2 linked regions of the Danio rerio genome follow. The protein of the gene in region 1 purifies or fractionates together with the protein of each later gene. This does not show direct contact. Links are inferred from orthologs where the notes say so. Each region holds a gene or a part of one and is shown in the gene's direction. Other genes may lie near its edges.

What was found. The genes of interacting proteins can lie anywhere in the genome.
Region 2: the proteins of tfdp1a (region 1) and e2f2 purify together in Homo sapiens (affinity purification with mass spectrometry; 3 studies listed by BioGRID and IntAct, with this or other methods). This does not show direct contact. The link is inferred for Danio rerio from reciprocal best matches to the Homo sapiens genes TFDP1 and E2F2.

What each region holds. Positions count from the first base shown.
Region 1 is NC_133184.1:36,640,908-36,646,236, forward strand, and holds the start of tfdp1a (transcription factor Dp-1a), read left to right. Parts: upstream 1-2,280; 5' UTR 2,281-2,368; exon of another isoform or gene 2,369-3,723; intron 3,724-5,329. UniProt on the Homo sapiens protein: Can stimulate E2F-dependent transcription.
Region 2 is NC_133192.1:28,749,179-28,754,290, reverse strand, and holds the start of e2f2 (transcription factor E2F2), read left to right. Parts: upstream 1-1,700; 5' UTR 1,701-2,172; coding exon 2,173-2,439; intron 2,440-5,112. UniProt on the Homo sapiens protein: Transcription activator that binds DNA cooperatively with DP proteins through the E2 recognition site, 5'-TTTC[CG]CGC-3' found in the promoter region of a number of genes whose products are involved in cell cycle regulation or in DNA replication.

The sequences.
Region 1 (5,329 bases):
AACCTTTCTTCCATTGTTTGTTCTGTCTCTCCTTCATTCATTCATTTGTTCATTCCTTACTTCATTTATTTGGTCCTTCCTTCGTTCCTCCCTTTATTTGTTCGCTCATTTATATTTTTGTTCTTTCCTTTATTAGGTCCTTTGTTCATTTGTTCGTTCCTTCCTTCCTTTCTTAGTTTGTTCAGTTCTTCCTTGAACACTTTATTCATTTAGTCCTTTGTTCGTTTATATTTTTGTTACTTTCTTCATTAGGTCCTTTGTTCTGTTCTTCCTTTATTCATTTGTTCATTTCCACCTTCCTTCATTCCTCCCTTCATTTGTTCGCTCATTCATTAATTCTTTTGTTCATAATTTTTCCTGATTCTTTCTTTAGGTCCTTTGTTCATTCATTTGTTTGTTCTTTCCTTCCCTCTTTCCTTCTTTTCCTTCCTTAGTTTGTTCAGTCCTTCCTTGAATTCTTCCTTCATTTTTTTAGTCTTTTCTTCCTTCATTAGTTCAGTCCTTCCTTTGTTCAGTTCGTCCTTCCATTTTTTATTCGTTCCATTTAGCGATTGTTTAAAGCTGTTTGGTGATTTCAGTCATCATACAGACGACATTCTTTTTTATTAAAGTTGACATTTATTTTCTCATCAGTGATGCCCAGTGTATTAAAAGTCTGTGCGTCAATGTGGGTAAATATTTTGAACATCTTCTGGGACATTTTTAATGCTTCCAAAGGGTTTGCTGCATTTAGAAAACGCCCACGTGTTGATGTTGTTCATTATTATGCGATTTACTTTCTATGTGTGATTTAATTGGACAAGAATCACAGAACTATTTTTTTCTACTTTAGCCAATTCCCATGGACAAGAAAGAAATAAAGTAGTGACTGCAGGTTGAAGCAAAGAAGTAAAAGTACCGATACTGCACTAAAAATGTACTCAAGGGACAGTAAAAGTACACATTTATAAAACTTCTTGGTAAATTACAATTTCTGAGAAAAATTACTCAATTTTCAGTAATTTGAGTATTTGTAATTAGTTACTTTACACCACTGCTACCTAACTGTGTTTATGTACTCTGTTTAGGTAAGAATTCGACATTTATAAATGTACAGCAGGGGTGCTCAAACTTGGTCCTGGAGGGCCGGTGTCCTGCATAGTTTAGCTCCAACTTTCCTTAACCCACCTGCCTGGAAGTTTCTAGTATACCTAGAAAGAGCTTGATTAGCTAGTTCAGGTGTGTTTAATTGGGGTTACACCTAAAAAATGGAGGAAACCGTCCCTCAAGGACCGGGTTTGGGCACCCTTGATGTACAGTATTTAATTCAAATAACTTCTTCAAATATACCCACCCAGAGACCTGAAAATGATAGTGACACTAAATGGTGACACCCTTTTTGAACACTTCTCCATTAGTTATCTGTATAAAACATACTGTATACAGTCCTGTCTGTGGGGGCAGCATGAATACTGATAAACATGTTACAGTCCTAAAACCAAAATGTGACCTAATGACTTAAAGTTTCAATTTTATATTTTATATAATGAGCAAATAAAATAGTCTAATTTATTATTTTGCTGATTTGTACATTATGATTTGTACTTCATAAATATTGACTTGTGCATAATACTAAACGCCTCTAAACGTATTTTATGTTGTTTTTTATACATCTTTTCTCAATTATTTAAAATGAAAACACAATTTATTAATCGTAACTTGGCTAACAAGCCAACAAATACACTTAAAGAGCTAAGAAAGAGTTTACCTTTTCCTTTTCATTTCCTAAATACAGTTAAATGGATACCAGTGCACTATTTTGCACCACAAACCTGTAATAAATTGATATGGTGTCTGTATCTAAGCTTAGGTTCAAATGTTTAGTACTTTTACAGTACTGAGATCTAAATAAATAAACAGGATGACTACCGTGCAAAGGGGAAGCGGTCTAATTGAAAATATAACCCGAGAAAGTGATATGAAAGCGGTAATTAGACATTTATACACTGGTAACAGATGTTCTTATTGTATTGGGTGGTATTAATAAACATATATTAGACATTTAATACACATGAACCATTTTTTATTCTCTTTATTTACATATATACCTACGCACGCTCCACCCTCAGACGCAGTGGGTGGAATCCAGTATAATCAACCAATGAGAACATGTCAACACAGCTTTTGTAGCGCTCCGTCTAATCAGAATTTAGCGCGGGCGTGTCTTTTGTAATACGTTTTTTCGACGTCACGAGCATCATCGTCCAATCGGGTTTCCCGTGGCGTCGACACCGCCAAGCTCAGTTTTACAGACCTAGAGAGGGAGCAGGTTCTACTGTGCGCTCCTATTCATTCTACGCTAGACAGTTGAAGGCGGATGCAACCGACCGTAAGTGAGACCAGGGGGGGCTCCGAGTCCACACAGACAGCTTTGAGCGATGTTTTCCGTTTTTATATATCACCAGTGCATAAAGAAGCTGTCTTTTATCTGCGCTTGTAATAATTTAACACAAAATAAGTGCGTTTGACAGCAAACTCGTTCTAAAACAACAGCGTGCGACTGTATGCAGTTGTACATCTGCTATCTGAGGCCGTTAGTCTGTTAACCATCAGTCCTGATTCATTATCATATAGGTGAAATATTAAAACTGTCTGTCTCAGATGGCTTGTGTTAGCCAACATGCTAAGCCATGTCAAGTGTTTCTGTCAGTGTAGTGCAATAGAAAATCGTCCCTGATCTTTACCGATCGTACAAAAAAGCATTGGCAGGCAAAACTGGACGTGTAATAAACAATAGTAAGGGGATCGTAGATTGATTATGATAAAGCTGTCGAGATGACCTCGATTTGAGTGGAAGTTAGCTTGACGTTACTAGCTCGCCTGGTCGCTAGCTTAACAGTTTTATTTTAATTCGCTTTAAAGCGTGTTTTAAAGACTTTTGAAACTAAAGAAACAGTTGTTATTGTTACTATCGCATAAGCACGAGGATTTTGTTCAATTAATAAGTAGTTTTTGACGACAGAAGGACCTGTCACCTCAGCTAGCATCACTGCATGTTGGCTTTGCTTTAGCAACCATGTAAAATGGCTGCCAGGCATTAAACCAAAACCATCCTGTTTGTTCAATTAGTTCATGAATGTTTGCAAATAATTATGTCCCATTATGAACGGCTATTTTCCGTTTTTAGAGTATAATCGGTTGTTTAACTTGTGTTGCTGTTGAAGCCAACGAATTCTGTGACCCTCCAGCTGAATAGGTGTTGTGACTGTCAACTGTGTTGCTTAATAATGTGGCCGTTTATATACATATATTTGCTTAAGATTATTCTTTATTAAACTCTATATAATATATATTGATAATTTTAGTTCTTTTATTTGGAATTATTTATAGGGATTTACAGTTTGCATGCGTCTTGTATGTGCATGCTTAAAACATCCGCATCCATTTTGAGGTTTATGAATGTGCCATGATCTAACAATCAAACATCTCCCAAGTGCAAGCTCGTTTCAAAAGCACGCTCATTCACCGCACATGGGTTTTTATTTTTCATATTATTTGATTTATTTTTGTTTCCTGTTTGAGAGATGGGCTTCAGACCTCCTCTTCCTCTGTCCTCTTGCTAACTGGCTATGCCAACAAAAACAGCACCTAAGAAGGCAAAGGGCTTCAGGACTGTAAGTTCAGAGGAAAGTTTACAGACTTCATTTCCAGATGGCCATTTAAGTCCGATTCGTTTGCAAAACGGTACGAGCACATGCACAATACCCGATCTGCTCGCATTTAAACACGAGAAGCACGTTTTGATCACAATTAGGACCAGGGTTCGTTGCAAAACGTGTTTGAAAGGCTGCTAGCTAACTGGGCTAACACGCTTTATAATAGTGCACACTGCTTCGATTGTGCATTATGTTTGGAGCGGAAAAAGTAAACGAATGAAGCAGATTATCGTTCTGCTTGATGCGTTTACACGCTTTTTTATTACTTGAGACACTTGATATTTTTGTATTTAAGGGCCCTTTCCTTTTGCAAGAAAAGTTACTCAAAACGACAGGAACTGTTGCATATGGATGTTTTTCAGGATATTGCACGAGGGGTTTGGGTGTAGGAGTTCGAGATTTGATGTTAAAGAGATGATACGATTCGTCGAGGTCTTTGTCTGGTAATAAAAGCTGCATGAGAGCTGGCGGGCCTCGTTTTCATCAACCATGACAGTGTTTCCAAACCTTGTGAGCGTCCTACCTAGACAGCATTTTAAAAATTGCGACTTCTTTAGCAAACACCGAATCGAACTAACTTTGAATTCACACAGTGCTTGAAAGTGTTTGGGTCTCATCTCAATACACTTGTGATGTTTTAATCCACATGTAAATAATATCATCAAGTAAAACATCTTGGCTAAACACTGCATTGAGATGTTAATATATAAACATTCGTGTAAACTTGTATTGTTTAGGCTTGTGCTAAAGATGTAAGGGTGTGTTCATTGACACTTGGTGGGTTTGGTTTGATTAGAATTATCTCTGGTGCAGTTGCTCTGTTGGATCATTTGAATAAGTGTGAACGCTGCCATGGTTGTGGACCAAACAAGCAGACCATCACTGCTGGAAAAATAGGTTTTGGCATGATTGCGATGCAACACAATATACTTCCTTGCAAACTAAAACATGTCACAATATGTGACCACAAAAAAGACAGTGCACTATCATACATATATTTTTAGAAGAAATACTGCTTCTTATGGTTGAGTACAGGTTTTGAAAAGGAGTCTTCTTGCAATCAAAGTTCTTAATGTCACAGTTTTGACTCCTTTAGCCTTCATGTTTTATAGGCTTTCCACTATAAGTGTGTTTAGCCCAGCACACAGCAATGTTTTGGATGTTCTCTTACAAAATATGTAATTTTTGTATTAAATGTTTATTTCTCTAACACTTTTACATTGTAGATTGTGTCAAAGCAGCTTAACATAGAAATTCTAGTAAATTGAAACCGTGTTAGTCTGGATTTCACATTTGAAGTTCAGTTCAGGGTGGTTTAAATTTTACTACTGAAAGTCCAAACACTGAAGAGCAAATCCATCAATGCACAGCTCCACAAGTCCCAATCCAAGCAAGCAAGCCAGTGAAGATGAACAAACTTCACCAATTGACGAAAGTGAAGGAAAAAAACCTTGAGGAACCAAGCTCAGCTGGGCTCCACCATTTCTTTTCTGACCAAACTTTTTTTTTTTAACAGTTTTTGTTTTAACAGTTAGCAAATTAGGACTAAGTGTAGCATTTACTATTTTGACAGACCACACAACCCAACCAAGAGATCTGAACTACAAATGTGAACACACCCTAAATATGTTAAC
Region 2 (5,112 bases), on another chromosome or scaffold:
ATATATATATATATATATATATATATATACGTATTGTTTTTATCAAATACCATTAGGAAAAAGTAATATGTTAAAAATTTAAATTAAAGACTGCCTATTAAGGCAAAGTATCAAGCAAATTAAAAGCTGGCCGGCACATTCAACTTTTCTCAGTCAAAATTTGGCAACTTGAATGATAAAAAAAAATATGCATAATGGTAATAATAATAATAATGATGATAATGATTTTTCTAGCTTCTCTTGTAAAAAAGTAAGATATTTCCTGAATAACAAAAATTGCCTATTTGTCATTAAAATTAATTTTTATAGGCTTCAAAATGTACTTTTGGTGCTTCACACCTTTCATTGATGAGTTTGTCTTTCAAGAATATGGTCCAAGATTTAGAATAACAGTTACTTGTAAAATGTTTTCTCTATTTAAAACAATACAGTAGGTCAGTGGTGAAAGGTGACTTCACTTACGTAAGATTCTTATGTTATATTATTAAGACCATCTGCTTGTCAATTCTATAGACCATTTAACCATACATTTACAATATTTTGTTAATAAATCCTACCGCATGCACAGCAATAAATACTGTAGTAGCTTTTATGTTTCACTACAGTAAACTGTGGTGCATTGCAGTACAATATAGGGTATTAGTGTTAGAAAAACTACAGTATTGTTTTTGTTTATAATGTTAGTTGCTGTATTACCACAGGCACAATATAATTGCCACAACAGATTCATTGAAGTACTTTACTATAGTATGGAAACTATATTATATTGATTGCATTTATTAAAATTATAAATTACGATAGTATTTTTTTTTTCATAAGGGATATCTGATATCCAATACAACTAGACTGTAAAGGCACTAATCCCATACCTAAGCAGGCCTATATTTCATTAAATAAATCAAATCAAACATTTCTCATTAGTTAAACTATATGTTCATTTTTGCCCCAAAGTACAGCTTGAAAGAAAAGGACTGCACCTCTTCTAAACACTGTAAGTCATCATTGGGCAAATAGTTTGGTGGGAGAGACTCAACAATCATCTGAAGCATGGCAGGGGTTACTCTTTGTGTAAAATGATAAGATCCTTTCAAGTGTATAGGTTCTTTTCTGTGGAGTTGTTTACGGCCTTTAAAGCTCTTGTTTTCTCTTTAAATCTCTTTTCAAACAGACAGGCCACGCCGAAGTCAACCATTTTTCCATTTAGTTGTTTAAAAACATTGACGTTTAAGATTAATTCATGACATTGATTCATTAGAAAACACAATGGGCCTGCTATAAAGCCATCCTTCAAAATCATCATTTATTTTATCAAGCCAAATGCTTTAATATTGAGGGTTTTATGGTGATTTTTCAAAGAACAAACCTATATTTTATGCGATATGACGTCATATTTGTATAAATGTCAAACGTATATTTGTGCTAAATCTAAATATGACTACAATAGGTCTGAATAGGCCAATAGGCCGCTGTTGTTTTGTTGTAGTTTGGGGGAAAATTTCCCTGTTCACAAAAGAGACTGAAAAGGCGCTGTCTCTTTAAGAGGAAGAACGCTGGGCGCCAACTGTTACATGTAAATATATTCAGAATACGAATGAGAGCGGCGTGCCAGCAGCCAATCGCTGCGCGCCTCCAACCGCGGGAGATCCAAATTTCGCGGGACGTAATTTGGCGCTAAAATAGCACTCCTCTGTTGAGCTGATGTCAAAGCAAAGCTTTTCTGCTGGAGAAGGATTACAGACACACAGGGACGTTTCTCACGGTCGCTGGCTTTACTCGATAACTGCGAGAGGAACATTTTGAAGCTTTACTTATCATTGAAAGGTAGTTTTATCAAGCATTGTGCGTGTAGTATATGTTTAAGTTATTTTCATTATAACAAAACAGAATAGCTTCTCCTGTGCTACAACAACAAAGGACCCTGGGATACTTTGTGCAACTCGGATGATTATATTTTCTTATTTTCACACGTAATTTATCTGCAACTTAACATTATTTATTATACTAATATTGCAATATACTATTATACAACTATCGCTTGTAGCATTAGCATTGTTTTAAGATACACGTATTCATTAACGCTTGATTGGTTCTGCAGTGAACTACAAACGCAATTTGCGTAATAAAAGAGTTTCTTTTGCGTCACTTTCGCGGGTTTTGCATTCCGTGCGCAAAATGATGCGGATACCCAGAGGGATTTCTCCTGCTTCGGGAAGAGGCGCAGGATCTGGGCTCTCGTGCCCGCAGAAGAAAATGTTCACCGCGATGAGGACGGACTTTTTCACCACGGGACTGGCGAGTCCACCGATGAATTCGGTACCGGCTGGATACTTCACTCAGATCGGGAACACGACAGCTGTGGAGCAGAGACCCAACTGTTTGTATGCGACCCCCCACGGGCCCGAGCCTAAGCCGGTGCGGACTTCTTCCGGGCGGCTACCGGTATGCTTCTTTCCACCCCCATTTCTGCTCATACTACAGCGCCATATATGCGAATGTTTGCCCTCTAAATCTTTGTTTCTCGTCTTATAACATGAATGTGGTATTTACTAAAACGCAGATACAGTCACACTGTAGTTCTCTGCTTTCTACAACACTAAAGCTTCTTTTTCTGGCTTCGCGGAAGGATTTTATCTGTGCCATCATCTCTGATGTACTGAATATCTGTCAGTTCCTCATAAATGAATTAAACAGGCCAGTCATTGGAGAGGATGGCCACAAACTTACGTTTATATTTAAGTCATGACATTAGGACAGACAGGACCTTTAGCCAAGAGAGTGTGTGGCAAGCCATTTATATCTTAAACTGCTCAACTTTCTGTTGTGTTTGTCTCACATTCAAAATAGCACATAAAATAGTGTTTTGCTCAGTCACAGTATTATTTTTACGTTCTGACAGGAGCGAATACTTGTGAGGAATAATGCATAGGTTAAAAATAATAACTATATTATCCCTGGAGAAATGGATTTTATATCAATAACTAATAGAAAAAGAAACCTTTTGTAGGCTCAGAAGTTATTAATCGATTTGTATATGATTTTGTTAAAGCCTTGTTAAATAACTTATAAATATCTTGTATTATTTGTGTTATTCTAAAACAATTGTTAAATTTCAGAGTTTGTCCAGAAACACTATAATTCCCATGATGCTGTGCAGACAATTCCACCAATCAGAGAACCACAGCTAATTAAGTAAGATATTTAGCCCAATCCACACTGTGAAGAATTGGGAATGATGTAATTGAGTCAGTTTCTCTATATTTTAAAAAAAACTTACCTGTACATACGACACAAATAAAGTGAATTAGTGATTTAACTTTCCAGTTGTTCAGATGAAGAAACAGGTTTAAAAGAAAACTTTTAGCACGCAACTCCATAAAACTGATATTTAAGTTGTCTAAAACTTTGCATGCATCATAAAAGACAGACGATATCCGAAATCGCCTACCACTCAGTAGGTACTGCATTTGAATTTAAACGTACTACTCGACCGTTAGAAAAGCCCATTCTATGCAGCATGAATGTAAGCAGTATGAATTGAACTCAATTGTACTACATCCACCATTTTGTTATCATCATGTGGCCTACCCACATCAGTTGTGTCTCTTTTGTTCCATTCATGAATTCTCTCACGAAGCATAATGGGATAGTGTAGCATCATTGGATGCGCACTTCAGAATCTTTCCGGAAGTAGTAGGTCATCTGGATACTTCTCGCAAGTTTTTAGCATTCTATGAATTCAGACACACTACTCCGCTCACATACTGTTTTTAGCGTACTATATAGTGTGGAAGTGTGCAATTTTGGACACAGTCTGTAAGTACATTACTAACAACCCCATTTTATGTAATTTTAAATATGCGGTCAAGGCTTATGAAGTTGTATTGATTGTTTTTTTGTTTTAGCTAATTTATCTATGGCAGTTCTGATGTTCAAACAATACATGTCAACTGTTTGAACTGTTTGAACTAGCAAATAAAGAAGTACTGGTTACCATTAAAAAGTAGTTGACATCAGAATAAACGTAGTGAAATACTTAGTATATTACACTAGTCTTATATAGGTAAAGATTAAAATTAAAAAATTTGCAATTACTTTTTGCATCACTTACTGATAGAAAAAACATGACGTGAAAACCATAACATTAGTCGACATTTGAAGTGGATCAAAACATTTCATCAAAGTTGAACTAAAACTGTGAACAGTTTTGAAAAAAATAACTTTATTTTGATCTATTTTAAATCTGTAACTACTGTAGTAAAGGAGTAAATGCTGGTTTGGCTTGCCATATGAGGGTTATTTCAGGGGGGAGGTAGCAGAAGCTGATGGTAGGGGGAAGGGTGCTTTACAGCTTCTGAACCGGACATTATAATATATGGTTCGGGCCTAATAGTAAAATGGGGGAAGGGTATTAAAAGGTAAACTTATCCAAATACAAAACCTTTTATATTTAGCAATCGATAAAACATGCTGAATGAATGCTCCCTTAAAGTCACAGCATCAAATGAACGAGGTTCATTCCACTCATCCCAAAACTGGTTATTCCTGTAGTTGTGTGGTCCTGGATTGTACAGCTTTTTCGATTATGTATTTGCTGTTGTAATTAACACTCCTCTTTTTACATGCACCTTCGTACACCTGTCTCACCATTTGTCCTTGCATGAGCTCAACCTGTTGAAAAGGTCAAGTAGGTCAGGGTATCTGCTTCAGGAAAATGCCCATCTCAAAGCTCTCTCTGTGTCACTCGCTGCTTCCAGCTGATAAAAAAAAGAATGATCACAGACTCACACTGTAAAATATGGGGCAGAGCTGATAACAGAATGGGCGTCTGCATGAAGGATTGATGCATATGCCTCATAAACTCCTACATAGATTATGCTAAAAGCCTTGTGGTTTGGTACATCAGTTGATCAACTCAAAATGTTTCTCCATCATCATCATCTTATGTGGCCTTGCTTTTTCCTATTTACATTTTAAGAATTTCTGGAAATGACACACTCCACATGGTAGGGCTCTGTGATTAATCAAATCGCAATTTGAAATGTTTCAATTAGCTAATTGCAAGAGGCTTTGATATGAAATATATGTATTATTTAGTTTCCCCCACCCAGAGCA